Coturnix japonica: one gene and its partners. Each later gene encodes a partner of the first gene's protein in a complex. Links are inferred from orthologs where the notes say so. Each region holds a gene or a part of one and is shown in the gene's direction. Other genes may lie near its edges.

Region 1 (4,583 bases):
TTAGTAATTACTTATTAACAAGGGTGAGAAAATCAAATCTACTATATTAAAATGAAAACTGGTGTGACTACAAAGCCCACAAATGTATAGAATGGATGCATTCACCAACCACTAAAATAGACAAATATTGCAGAGCTGAAAAATAAAGCTTAGAAGAAAAAAAAATAATAATCCAAAATGAAATGAACCAAATAAGTTCCCAGCAGGCACTTGTGAATCTACATGTGATGCAACACTGGGAGCACGGAAGGTCAGAAATGTTTCTAAGCTGTGATAATGGCTGCTCACTATCAAGTATGTGCAGCTCTTTCCCATTTCCTCGTCCCTACTCCCCAGCCTTTTCTCTATCTTTAGCCCTTCTTTTTCACTCCAAAGCGCTCTGCTCAAAATATCCTGGTAGATGACAAGCTGCTGCCAGCCTGAAACCTCCTGGAATGTTACAACGAAACTTGCCCAAGGATCTTCCCATGGCACATCTCTGTGCAGATCAGTCAGAAATTATTGGCAATTTATGTTTCTTGATAGTAATAGTAGCTTGTTGTGAGGAGTCTCTTCTACTGTGCCCAATCTGGCCTTTCATCTGACACGAGGAATGCTAAAAATGTACACTGAGCAACAGATGAGGCAACTATCAGACACTTCTTTGTCAACACAGAAGCATAATCACCTTTCCAAACCTGGCAGTGGCTTGGAGGACGGCTAAGGGCCTCACTGTAGACATGGCAGCACTCTGCTGCTTGCCTGCATGGCTCAGGCAAGATGTCTGCTCCGTACCTTCCTGCCGCACATTAAGTGTTCCCCGCAGGCACGATTACTGCATGACCACGTATTTATTTCCTCCGGGAATCGCCTCTCACGCTGACGAGAAACACCTCACACCCCCAGCCCGGGGCACGGCTCTCCCCAGCCCAGCGGCGGGCGGTGACATGACATATCCCCGCTGCCATTCCCGCACACGGCAGCCTAAAATGGCCTCCTCCAAGGGCCGCTTGTGTTCGGGGCGTGCGGCGCTGCCGGAGGCTTCACTACAGCACAGCCACGGGTTGACAGCTTTCTGGAGGCCGCTCACACAGCGGACCAGGGCTCGGTCGGGCAGTCCCCAGTCAGCACGTAACACCTGACACCTCCGGGTTCGCGAAAAGAATTAAAAAGAATGAAAACACGCCTTCCTCGGGCACTAACAACCGGCAAAACCCACAGCACATGGCGGAAACCCACGCGCGAGCAGGGGCGCGGCCTACGGCTCCCGGGGCCGCCCCTCGGCTCCGCGCTCGGCCCCGCCCGCTCGGCCCGGCCCCTCCCCGCTCTGCGCGGCCGTTGGCCGGCGGCTGCCGGGCGGTTTGGCGGCGGTGTCGGGCGCCGGCCGGGCGGGGGCGCCGAGCGGCGCGGAGGGGCCGGGCGGGCGGCGGCGGTGCCTGTCTTGCCGCCGCTCGGCGGTCGGCTCGGCTCGGGGAGGAGGGCCCTAGCCCAGCGCGCGGCCAATCCGGACGGGCGCTGGCGGAGAGCAGGGCAGAATGGGCCGTAGTTGAGTGAAATAGGAAAGCTGCGAACAGAGTGGAGTGCTCCCGGTGTAAATAAAAGGGGGGAAGAAAAGTTTCCCCAAGTCGCGGCTCCGCAGCCTCGCTCCGACGGGGGGCAGGGGGCTTCGTGCGAGGCGGAGATCACCGCTCGGGACTTTGCCGTGCGGCGTTCACCCGCTCCTCCTATTGTGATTTTTTTCAAAATATGGCAAAGGTTCAGGTGAACAATGTAGTGGTGTTGGACAACCCTTCTCCTTTCTACAACCCTTTCCAGTTCGAAATCACATTTGAGTGCATAGAGGACCTGTCGGAAGGTGAGTACCGCTCTCCGGACGCGGGTTCGGCGGTGCCCGGGCTGTCGGATGCGGGGCCGGGCGGGCTCCCTTCGGGCCGGGCCTGCTCCCGCCGCCGCACGGTTCTCCTCCCCGCAGAGCCGTGCGGCCACGCGGGGGATGCGGAGCTACGGCGGGGCCGCCCGGCCCCGGCCCGGGCAGGGAAAGTTAGCGGCGGAGCCCTCGCTCCGGGGCCGCCGCTCCGCTTCGCTCCCCGCCGCGCCGTCGCCGAGGCCGCCTTCAAGTTGCGAGGAACTTGTTAGAGTGGTGGTAGCCATGTTGCCAGCTTTGTGTGTGCGTGGGGGGGCAGAGCGGGAGCGGGCGGGCGGGCAGGGCGCCGCGCGGCCCCGCGACGCGGGAGCGGAACTGTTGCGCGGCCGTAGCGCTGCCAACGGGAGGTACCCGCAGCGCGGGCAGCGTTTGGAGCGTGCGGTGCGGGGCCTCACGGTCCATTTTAATACTTAAAAGGAGGGAAGGAAAAAAAAAAAAAAAGAAAAGGAAAAAAACAGAGCTGGAGGCCGGGCGGACGAGCGGGCGGCTCTCGGTGGGCGCAGTGCTCGGAGCCCGGTGGGTGGCGGTCCGGAGGCGCGGAGCCGTGCCGGGAGGAGGGGGAGGCGGTAGCCACTATTTTTGGAAGTCACTCGAAAGTTACCGGCTGCCGCCGGGGGAGGCGGCTCGGCGCCGCCCTGCACGCCGCCCCGCGGGGACCCCGGGACGGGAGACGCGGCTGAGGGACCCTTCTCGGCCGGGCTCGAGTCCTCCCGTCCGCACGGCGGGCCGCGAGCAGCCCCCGGCCCGCTGTGGGCCGGCTCGCTCGGCACGATGTGTCCGTGCCGCCGGCAGGCCGCGCCGCGCCTCTCCGCGGGAGGCGCCCCGAGAGTCCGCGCGGGAACAACCGGGCGGGAGATTCGAACGCGGCGGCGCACGGCGAAGGAAGCGGCGGGATGAGCGGCACCGAGAGACAGGAAAAGGCCGCTCCGATGGAGCAGCCACAGGACAGGTGCCGCTATGGGGCACAGTGCCGCCTGCTCGCCGGGGAACCAGGGCAGACAGCGGGAGGCAGGGAAAGAAACTCGTGGCAGTAGAGAATGGGGACGTTTCTATTGCTGCTGTGGTTCAGTTTGCCTCCCTCAACACTCGGCGCGGGTTTCTGTCCCTGTGTGGCGGGTTGGCGGTGCTGTCAGGAACTTTGTCAAAGTCCTGTCTGCGTTTGAGGTTCCCCCCACGCCTCTGCCCCCTTCCTAAAACTGATCAGCGTCTCAGTTTGAGCAGCCCGCGCCATTAAGCTCCGTGCACATCCCGATGCTGATGGCTGCTCCTCCCTGACTCAGGCAGTCAGGGCTCACTCAGGACAGCAGCACCTGAATCCTCACACAGCAGTGCCTGCAGCAGCACAGGCACTAGGCATCACCTTGCCTTTCCTTTGGTTTGTGACCACTCCTAACTGTGTGTTTAACAGTGCGATTAATCTGGACAGTCAGGATGAGAACTGGAGGTGGCCCAGTTCAAAATTCTCAGTTCCCTTCCCCCATCTGACAAAGGTTAGGCTACAGGATATGTTTAGGGTAAGCATTGCTATCTTTCACGTTTAAAAATGAGGTTAAACAGCTTCTTGAAGAGAATGAATTGCTGTCATTTCCTTAGCGTTTGTGTGCTAATGTCTGCTCTGCTGTTTACAGCCAGTCCTGTGCACCACTGGTCTTAAAAGTAAATTAATTGAGTTCACTTCCCCCGTCTTTAAATTATTCCAAGTCATCATGTATCAGCAGTATCAGATCAACCTTTTAAAGGTATAAGTTATCTTCAAAGGCTTGTTTTTCAGTACCAAGTATTACTGCTTTAGAATGAGTTTGTTTTCCTGGAATAACTGCAAGTGATGGTATGATAACCTTAAGCGATCTAGCCTCTTATGTCCCCACTCCTTGAACACAGCAGATTACATAGGCTCCAACAGAAGGTCACCAGCTGACCCAATGAGTGCTTAGTACCCCAGCAGCCAACACCAGGTGCTTATGGGGTAAACAGAATCTCTGATGCAGAACCTGGCCCGTTGTGCCGTGCTGTATGAGGGGTTACGGTTTCATTAATGAGGAAAAAAATCAGTTGCAAGCCTAAATGCTGGAGACATTCCTACAGACTGAACAAATTCTCATTACAGCTCCCAGCAAGTAAATGGGCCCTACCTGCTGTAGGAGAATCGCAGCTTAACCAGTCTATGAAAATAGAGGGGCTTCTGCAGACTGGAGAAAGGTGGTGGGATGGCCTAGTTTATGAGGACTGGAGAAAGCATCAGCTTCCCTGATAAAGACAAGTTCCCTGATCCTTTATGCCAGTTGCCAAACTAGCAATTTTAAGCTAAGCAAAATCATAAACAGTCAAGAGCGGAAGACCCTTAACTATAATGATAAATAATGTTTGTTATCTAACTTTTGTTCTGCAGATTTGGAATGGAAGATAATTTATGTGGGTTCAGCTGAAAGTGAAGAGTATGACCAAGTGCTCGACTCTGTTTTAGTAGGACCTGTTCCTGCAGGCAGACACATGTTTGTATTTCAGGTAAGTGGGAATTAACTGTTTCTGAGAAAATAATTTTGATCACTGAAGATGACTACCACGCTAAGAAGCACCTGAAAATATTTGAGTCAGCTCTTTAGTTTTGATACACCTTTCTTTAAGGTTTATTTATTAGCTGATATTTTGCCCCTGATATTTCCATAGTAATATTTTCATT
Region 2 (4,090 bases), on another chromosome or scaffold:
GTTGCTGCACCAGGCATCTTCTGCAGGGATATCTCCTGATCCTGGGACTCCTACTAAGCCCGCTTACACCCGCAGTGCTAGCCTTCCTGCTGAAAGCCATCTGGTGACCTGCGCAGATCCTGCAAAGGTTTCCTGCAAGAAACAGTTGGAGTGTCTGGCACAGCTCTACTCATCATGTATAGCAGGTGACAACTGAGATGTGAGATTGACCCTTCTGTGAGCTCTGAGCTTATATATGCAGTGTGAGGAGAAGGCAGATAACAAGTAGAAGTTCTGGCGTAGTTGCTGCGTATAGATAACTCCTAAAAGAATAAGCAATGCCATCTCAGTTATTAAAATGAACAGTTTTTACATAAAAATATAGGGAAGTAGATGAACGTGTTGCAGTACTTTGACCTGTAGGAGGCTGCAGTTGCATGGTCCTATCTGGTGAGGTAAATTTGAACAACAAAACCCTTCCCTCACACGTATTTGCATGTTGATATATGCTGTGGCTGTGTGTGGGGAGTGAGTTCTTTACAGACTTTGTAGAACAGTTGTCTGTCTTTTTGCCTTCAATCATTAAAACAGGTTAAATCACAATATTCATCTCTCATATCACATTTTTTCTCTTGCAGAAAACCTGGTACCAAATATTTTCCTGGAGCTTTTTTTTGTTCTGCAACTGTTAACATCTAAAGGAACTTCTGCTTCAGAGGAAGAAGAGAGTGACCTTGAAGTCAATGAAGGAAGTAAAGGTAAGCAGTAGAATTGAGTGGAAAGGGTGTCCTTCCATGAATGATGATAATGTGATGTAGATAAGTTGCCTGTAGCCTAAAGGTTAGTATTCAATACCTTAAAAGCACAGTGGGACTCATCTGAGATGCTGACAAAAGCCATGTGTGTATGGGAAGTATTTCTTTAGCATGATAGATCAGGGTTTCTAGATTGTGTTTGAATCTACTTTTCTACTGTTGTGTGTGAGTACCTACGACATCTTGCTAAAACAAACTTGCAGAGAGAAGAGCAGATATGTTATGTCTCTTCTCCGTTGGTTCTTACAGATCAAAAGTGTTGTTGTCTTGCTGTGTGTTTCTTAAAAGTTGGGTCTCAGGTGTGGGCACATAGGGCCTGCTAATATAGGTAAATAATTGTTACATTTGACTTTTTGGCAAAGTTGTACTTACTCTTGATACAGTCAGTAGTTTGATATAGGTATGAAAAGCAGAGAGTGGCTTTAAGATGAGACTTCCCTTCAGAAAACTATTTGTTTAACTTTAGTTTTGCTTCTTAGGACTGAGCTTAGGAACATAAGGTGATCAGCAGCAGCAGCTGATTGGTGCTTGCAGTTGGTCTGCTTGCTGTTTGGCTCTGCTTACTGTTGGCCAAAAAGCTGAGAAGGAATCTTTTCTGTCCCATAGAGTGTTAAACAATTTAGTAGCCGTTAGTATCAGAGAGATGGGGATTTTTCTTGTGCCAGGGGATAGGAACTTCTGGATACTGGTCTGGAAGATCATTTTATTCTTTGGATATGGCAGTTCCTTCTTTCCTCCAGACCGTATTATCGATTGCTTAGCTTATAAATTGTGTTAGGTGCTGTTGTCAGATGTTTCTTTTTTTCCCATTAGATGCATCAGGGAGACAGCACTTCCGAAGCGTGCACAATTGCGTTTACTTCGCTGTTCAAGTCTTGGATTATCAATATGAGTGAGTTGAGGTGCTTTTTTTTTTTTTTTATTTCCTCAGCTTGTTTGTGTGATGAAGCAAGTGTGCTTAGATCTTAGAGCTTTACTAATTCCAGGCATGGAGATATTAACTTTCCCTCAAAATACACTTAAATTTGGCTTAAATTTGAATGGCTGTGAATTTTCTCTGTGCTGGTCTTCAGTGTGATTTTGTAAGAAATGGGAAGGTCATGAGAAGAATGCAATAAGAAAAAATGCCCCTGCAGATGTCAGTGAGATTTGATCCTGGGTGACTGGGTCTTATAACTCTTTACTTGGTGGCTTCTTAAGAATGACATAAACGTTTCTTTGGGTCTGATCATGCTGTCATTTGTGTCTGTGGGTTTTATGGATGTTGTCTTGGCAGAATTATTTCCCATTTAGAAAAGGGGACTCTGAAGTTCTTGGCTGAAAATGAACGGATTGCATGTTTTTCTCCCACCCTGCACGAGAGACTCAAGCAGGCATATGAAAACAGCACAGCCAAGGTAAATATTGGCAGACCTCAACTGAATGCTGTCTTATACCTCTGTGGTGATGGCGTTTTATTTATGTTGGCCTTAATGTTAACTCTCATTCCTTCTTCTGTGAGTCTCTTTGTCATGTCTTCTTTGGGAACTGTTTGAAAGTTGTTTTTTAATTGTTGGGTTTTTGTTTTTTCTCATTGAGTGAATGAATTGCATAATGCCATGACTGTTAGTTGTGAATTGCTACTGGTTGCCCCAGTGTTGTGGACCTTAGCTGGTGACTTCGACAGAGCCAAGTTTTGCTTTTGATGTTTGTGTCTAATCAACATGAATCCCAGAAAAATGGCCGTCTGGTTGCTGAATTGTAGTGTAGGTGGGGAGAAGTGAATTTGTTTCATTGCTACGGACTTCTTTGAGGCAAACAAAGCTTGCAGTCTGGAAAAATGAGTTTCCTGATCAGATCATCTAAGTCAGGGAACTGAAGCTTGATGATAGGAATGCATTTATTTTCTCTTTAGTTTCATGCATCCCATTGCATTTGCCAAGGAAAGTACAGTGTGCTTCCTGAGACTAAGGCACATTAATAACCGATCAGTTTTGCTAAAGTTAAAGACGAGGCTTTTTTGTTACTTGAAGGCATGTACTGTCTGAATAGAAGAATACAGAAATTGCCAGGTTCTGTCCTCCTGCAATCTCAGAAGCCCTGTGTTGAAGATATGCTTTGGCTGTCTGCAGATCATTCTTTCCATTAGTGTGAATACTAATTGCAATTTGTTGATTGCAATTAAAAAAAGTAAGTTTTTTTCCCAGAGATAAGAAGCTTGCATTCATAACGAGTGACTCTTGTCTCTGTGGTGTAATGTAGGCTTTGCAGCCATTGGTGTTTACTGGCAGTTAGCAACTGGGAAATGACTAGAGTCTGAACAACTCAATTAGTGACACCTGCTTTCACCGTCACCTCTCTCCACTGCTTATTCTGGGTTTCAGATTGTTGGATAAATTACACTTGCATTTGCCTAATTGTTGATTTATGTTTTCAACAGGTTTCTCTGCTGCTGCCATGCTCTGTGCAGTCTGTTTCTTTCCAGCCAGAAACCGACAATCGCTCTAACTTTCCCAGCGACAGAGCATTTCACATATTTAAGAAACAAAGGTAAGATTGTTTTACTGTTAGTATATGGCTCACAAGATATTATCTGATCATGGCTGTGAACAAAAGATATCAAGAATGTCCCATTTATGCTACGTACTGTAGATTTTCACTCTAATTAAGAAAAGTCTTTGTCCGTGCTGACTGCAGGAGCTAAGTGTGTAATGACTTTAGAGAAGAATAGCCTAATTCTTCAGGAGTTTTTGAGGATTCTGGTAAATGCCAGTGCAGTGTGGCACCTTACATAGGTTGCTTCTGCATACATATCTGGTATGCTTTGTATTCTTCCTGCTGCCTTCCACGCTTGCAGCAACTGAGTGAGGAGAGAATGGCAAGTTGTCTTGGTCATTTTTTTCTCCTCATAGGTGTTATTTTGTGTAGCCTGTTTCTCAGTCTTCAGTATGTCTGGTAAATGGGTGGTTTGGTCATTCTGTCTGAGCTTAGGCATAACAAGCTTAAGTGCTTGCTGTTCAGAGGCATGGAAGATGGAAACTTTAGAGTTTTGCGGAAGTATCAGAATGTGGAGATGCTTGAATTACTTAATCTGAGTTAGAGACTCACTGGGTAGTTTAGAAGCAATTGAATGCTTGGGTGTTGCTACTTCAAATTTTGAAGAGAAGGAATTCACATCCTTAAATGTCTTTGTTCACAGGGATATCTTTTATGAACTGCTGCGTGAATGGGAGGATAACCATGAAAAACCCGGTTGGGACTTTGAAAGAGTTCTGGGCAGCAAGATCAGGTAGGAGTCTTCTGTAACTCAATCTAGA
Region 3 (4,791 bases), on another chromosome or scaffold:
CTGGGATCCCTTCCTGGGTCTGACAGCCCCCCGAGCATCTCCTCCCTCCACCCAAAATCAAACAGAAACACACAATTGAAATGTATACATCCTTTCAGAACCACGTTTGCTGCAAATGGTACTAATTAGCGCTCCACTAAATGGCTGTGATTGGTTTAGCAACCGATGGGATATTTAGAATGCCTCCTTTTATTTGGGGGGGGGGGAAAGGGGGGAGAGAAAAGCAAAGCGAAATATAGCAGGTCGTTTATTTCTTTAACAAATTCCTGCTGCCGGCCGTGCTGATAAACGTGAATCACGCAGCAAGGAGCTGAAACCGGAGTGGATCCTCTACCTTAAAAACAACAACAACAAAAATAGCAGATTAAAGTACAGGAAACACAGCTCGTGAGATGAGCCTCGGAAAAGCCATTTGCAACGCGAAGTTAACGAATAACGCCGGGCTCGGAGCACGATAAACGAGTGCTAAATAACAGATCCTCCCCCTTCCCCACCATCAGCATCGTGTTGTAGGAGGAGGTTGGGGGGGGGCCAACCCCGCAGGGCTGAAGCTCAGCCGCTCCCCTTCACCCCCCCCCCTTTGCTGTTGGATGGGCTCTGCTTTAGCTGCGTGGTTTTGGGGTGGTGACACCCAGCTCTCACTATCCAACCCAGAGCAAATCCCATCTCTAATCCACGCCTGCCTCCCTTCGGACAGGCCTGGCCACTTCCCGACGTGCTGCTTTGCTTTCCTCCTCCCCCCCCCCCCCTTCACCTCCTTCTTTTTTAATGCTTGCTTTTTGTTGTTGTTAATCAATCCTCCCCCCCTTCCTCGTTTGCTTTGCAGAAAGCTCATTCAACCTTGGAGGCGAGCAGGTTGCACCGGCGGCCGAAGGGGCGACCGCACCGCCACGCCGCCAATGGAAAAGCCTTTAACATCTTGATTCTCTTCTCCTCCCACCTCAACCCACCCCCCAACCCCCCCTTTAGGTTTTTTCCTTCTTCAATCTTGGCCTTAGAAAGGCAGCAGTGAGCGCAGAGCCCGCAGGGCTGTGTGTGATGGCTCCGAAGGGATGCGAGGGGCAGCCTGGATCGTGGTGTGTGTGTGTTTGTGTGTATGTGGGGGGGGGGATTCATTTAGGATTAAGCCGTCATCATGGGGGGATACGGGGGTGATGATGGGGGGTGGGCAACTGGCATGTGCCCCCAGCCAGGGGGATGGAGCTGGGTTAATGCTGGATGGGATGATGGAATGGGTTGTATGGACATCCCCTCACAGACCCACCCAATCCACACAAGGGACCCCCCCTTTTGGGGTGGGGGATATCAGGTCACCCCTTAAAGGGGGGGGGGACAAACACCCTCAGGGCTCTCCTGACCCCCCCAGCCCTACCCACCTTCCCCTTGTGTCTGCTGACCCCACAGCCGACCCTGACCCTCATAGGTCCCCTCCCTTCCCCCCACCCCTCCGTACCTGCTGCCTCCCCACCCCATGGCCGGGCAATGGCCCCTCCCTCCCTTTAAGCCCTCCCCCATCCCACTCGAAGCCCCTCCCCGCTGACCTGCCCCCCTCCCCCCTCCCGTGCTGACCTGCCCCCCCCACCCCCACCCCCCCCCTCCGCCTCGTGCAAATCTCGCGAAGACCTCCGCGCGCTTTCACCAGTGTGTGTGCACCAATCGATCCGATCCGGGCCGGGTCGGGCCGAACCGCCGTGGGAGGGGGAGGGGTGGGAGGGGGAGCACCGGCCCCGCACCTGCCGAGCGAAGGGTCTCCGCCGCCACCCCCCCATAACCCCCCCCCACCCCCTTTACCTTCCCCTTTACCCCCCACCTGCCCGGGTGCCGCACCCTCCGAGCCCTCCCTCGGGCCTTTGTCCTGCCGCGAGGCCTCGCCACCTCCGCCGGCCTCGGCGTGCCGCGCTCGGGCGAGGCTTCTACGCGAGGCCGGGGATTCGCGGCCTGCTCCATCCCCGCTCCATCCCCGCAGCGCACCCAGGGGCTCATCCCCATCTTCCGCCCCTACTTTCCATCCCCCTCATCCCCCCCCCACACCCTGTGCCGCCGTCTCTCCCTTCCCCTCCACCCTCTTCTCCTCCGGGCACCCGCAGCGGCTGCTCACGAGAGGCCGCGGAGCCGCCCCTGGCCTCCCCCTCCCGCCCGTGCAGCCGCTGCCGCCGCCGCCGCAGCAGGTTCCCTCCCTCCCTCCTCCTCCTCCTCCTCCTCCTCCTCCTGCCCCCGGCGGCGGCGGCGGGATCCGAGCGGTGCCCGGGGAACGTCGGGCCCGGGCGGCGGCACGAGCAGCAGCGCCAGGTGAGAGAGAGCCCGGGGGGGGCGGCGGGGATCCCCCCTCACTCTTCCCTTCCCTTCCCCGGGCCGTGGGGGCGGTGGGTTGCGACCCCCGGGGGCGGCCGGGCGGGGTGGCGATGGAGCGCTGCCCGCTGTTGGCCGGGCCGGGGTCAGGCGGAAGGGCCGCGGCCTGTGCGTGCCCCGAGGCGGCGGAGCGAGGCCTGGGCCGCGGGTGCTCGGAGCAACGCGAGGCCTTGAGGGCTCCGATGGTGGGGGGTTAAGATCGGAGACGGCCCGGCCTCAACCCCGGGGGAGCGCGGGGGACGCGGTGAGGAGGTGAAGGGGTGGGTACGGCCTTTGGATCCCCGGCCTGGCAGTGAGGCAGTGACGGGAGGAGGAGGCAGGCCCAGGCGGTGCAGCGGCTGGCGGCGGGGCAGGCTGCTCCTCACCCGCTGCTCTTCACCCGCTGCTCGCCCAACAGCGAGTCGCCCCTCGAAGCCGTCGGGAGGAGGGCAGGGAGGGAATGCAGCCTGCTGCCGGCAGGGATGGATGGGTGGATGGTTGGGTCATTCCCCAGGCCCCAATGGGCACAGGGGCTCCGGGGAGGGGGCAGTTTGGTGTGGCCTCTTCCCAGCAGGGGATACCCCTTCCCCAGCCCGGCATCCCCTCCCCATAAAGGGGGGTCAGAGCTCCGAGGTCTTTAACACCTTCGCCTTAAGGGCTCGCCTGTCATTTTCCTCGGTGCACAGATTTCCTGTTTTGAAAACTAGGTTGGTAGCTTTGTTGGAGCAAATAGTAGAAATGGGGTTCTGCCGTGACCGCGTTTGGTTGTTGAGGTTTGCTGCTGGATGGGGAGAGCGCTTGTGAATGCCCCTGGATCGATTCACTGAGCTCTCTGTAACTTAGAGCTGCAGCATTTGGAGGAAACAGCAGAGACAAAATGGACAGTTAATAAAAGGAACAACTGTAAGCTGCCTGATCTAGAGGGCACTTGCTGCCCTTCAGGAACTTTCCTCCTCACATACACTCTTTATACAGCAAATCCTTATCTTGTGTCTTTTTTTTTTTTCCCCTTACCTTCGTCTGGGTAATGAAACTGGAACAGACATTTCTGGAAATGACGGACTCGATTGGTGCATTTGGGAAGATGCGATTCGCAGTTAAAATGAACATTGAAATTCGTCCCATTTTTCTTTCATAGTTCAATATCCACATTTTATGTTTTATGCTTTTTTTTTTTTCCCCCACCTCTTTACACAGCCGTGCTTGTTTGGTTGGCTGTTTCTGAACCCTTCAAGTGATGGCATCCATTGCATCTCGGTACCCCAGCTTACATGCAGTGTGTAGATGCAGCTGGGGGTATCCGATACTTTATAATGGATGTAAACACACATTATTTTCCCCCTGACAATCCCTTTCCGTGCTTAGAAGAACCAGAGCTGTTGTCAGTGAGTTTTGGGAGACCTTATATTTTAGGGGTTGGCCAAAAATAAATTCAGGGATGAGGATCTTTGTGCTTTTTTTTTCCTCCTAGTCATGCAATATGGATGGGAAGCTGTGAAGCCTTTAGTCATAACGCTCTGGTCCTGTGTTTTCCTTTTAATAAAGCATCCAGTGGGAGAATGTGACATAATTGGTTTCTTGGATTAAGAGATCTTGAAATGGCTGGTGCTACAGACAGATGAACCTCTCCATCAGGGTTGTGGTTTACATACAGTAATACGGTGACAAAATCATGTAGTTATTGCATGGTAATCTCGTATTTCTCTTGCAAGAAAATGCTCTCTACGTGGTTACGCTTCAAAACAGGCACTTTTGAGTCATGTCAGTGGCACAGAATCTTCAATCTTTCCTTTCCTTGCATTGCATAATCTGAATGTTATTCTCCTACAGCAGCAGAAATGATGGAAGAATTGCATAGCCTGGACCCACGAAGGCAGGAACTACTGGAGGCCAGGTTCACCGGCGTTGGTGTTGCTAAGGTGAGTGCAGATCCCTCCAGTGAAAGGCACGACATCCTGCAATACATTCTTTTTTTCCCCCTTCCCTCCCTTGCTAATTTTGCTTTGCAAGCAGAATGTGTTTGTATCCATAGTTTTGACTGCTGATATGCCTGAAGTATGTTGGAGAGGAATGAAAATGGGATCTCTATGAGCAGTTGCACTGTTATATGGAAGATTTGGGGTTCCAGGTTCTCAGGAGTTGCTCCATCTTAAGGCAGCTTGCACTCCGCTGACAGACAGCTTTGTCTTTGGGAATCTTACCCGTCTCTTCCTTTCTCCAAGTCTTCATTTGGGGAATTGGATTTGGCCACTTGTTAGATACGGTTTCAATCTGATTGTGCTTAATACAGCATATAACCAGGCTGAATATAATCAGGAATTTATTCATGCAGTTCTTTGTGGGTATAACGTGTTGAAATTGCCTACTTACTTGGTTGCATGAAACACACCCAAAAGTACTTGAAGTTAAACCTTTCCCTATCAGTGATCCACAACCTGCTGGTAAATCCCATCTTTGTCCTCA

What was found.
Region 2: the proteins of ASF1A (region 1) and CDAN1 are in contact, whole or in part, in a cryo-EM structure (PDB 9CVC), measured with the Homo sapiens proteins. The link is inferred for Coturnix japonica from reciprocal best matches to the Homo sapiens genes ASF1A and CDAN1. Residues at the interface, in NP_054753.1 of Homo sapiens: Gln5, Val6, Asn7, Asn8, Val9, Val10, Val11, Leu12, Asp13, Pro15, Asn20, Pro21, Phe28, Asp37, Val45, Ser47, Ala48, Glu49, Ser50, Glu51, Glu52, Asp54, Asp58, Ser59, Val60, Leu61, Val62, Gly63, Pro64, Val65; in NP_612486.2 of Homo sapiens: Arg195, Arg196, Ile197, Asn198, Thr200, Val202, Lys390, Leu391, His470, Glu471, Glu472, Pro473, Gly474, Trp475, Asp476, Lys538, Arg541, Arg544, Leu545, Gln546, Arg548, Leu549, Met550, Ala551, Pro552, Gln553, Ser554, Ser555, Arg806, Lys807.
Region 3: the proteins of ASF1A (region 1) and TLK2 are in contact, whole or in part, in a crystal structure (PDB 7LO0), measured with the Homo sapiens proteins. The link is inferred for Coturnix japonica from reciprocal best matches to the Homo sapiens genes ASF1A and TLK2. Residues at the interface, in NP_054753.1 of Homo sapiens: Val45, Ala48, Glu49, Glu51, Asp54, Asp88, Val92, Thr93, Val94, Leu96, Arg108, Gly110, Tyr111, Tyr112, Arg145, Thr147, Phe149; in NP_001271262.1 of Homo sapiens: Arg11, Arg12, Gln13, Leu15, Leu16, Glu17, Arg19, Phe20, Thr21, Gly22, Val23.

What each region holds. Positions count from the first base shown.
Region 1 is NC_029518.1:57,106,407-57,110,989, reverse strand, and holds the start of ASF1A (histone chaperone ASF1A), read left to right. Parts: upstream 1-1,339; 5' UTR 1,340-1,725; coding exon 1,726-1,834; intron 1,835-4,292; coding exon 4,293-4,408; intron 4,409-4,583. UniProt on the Homo sapiens protein: Histone chaperone that facilitates histone deposition and histone exchange and removal during nucleosome assembly and disassembly.
Region 2 is NC_029520.1:23,195,835-23,199,924, reverse strand, and holds part of CDAN1 (codanin-1), read left to right. Parts: coding exon 1-185; intron 186-617; coding exon 618-737; intron 738-1,607; coding exon 1,608-1,686; intron 1,687-2,070; coding exon 2,071-2,191; intron 2,192-3,213; coding exon 3,214-3,323; intron 3,324-3,972; coding exon 3,973-4,062; intron 4,063-4,090. UniProt on the Homo sapiens protein: May act as a negative regulator of ASF1 in chromatin assembly.
Region 3 is NC_029542.1:1,856,207-1,860,997, forward strand, and holds the start of TLK2 (serine/threonine-protein kinase tousled-like 2), read left to right. Parts: upstream 1-1,645; 5' UTR 1,646-2,289; intron 2,290-4,158; 5' UTR 4,159-4,166; coding exon 4,167-4,247; intron 4,248-4,791. UniProt on the Homo sapiens protein: Serine/threonine-protein kinase involved in the process of chromatin assembly and probably also DNA replication, transcription, repair, and chromosome segregation. Phosphorylates the chromatin assembly factors ASF1A and ASF1B.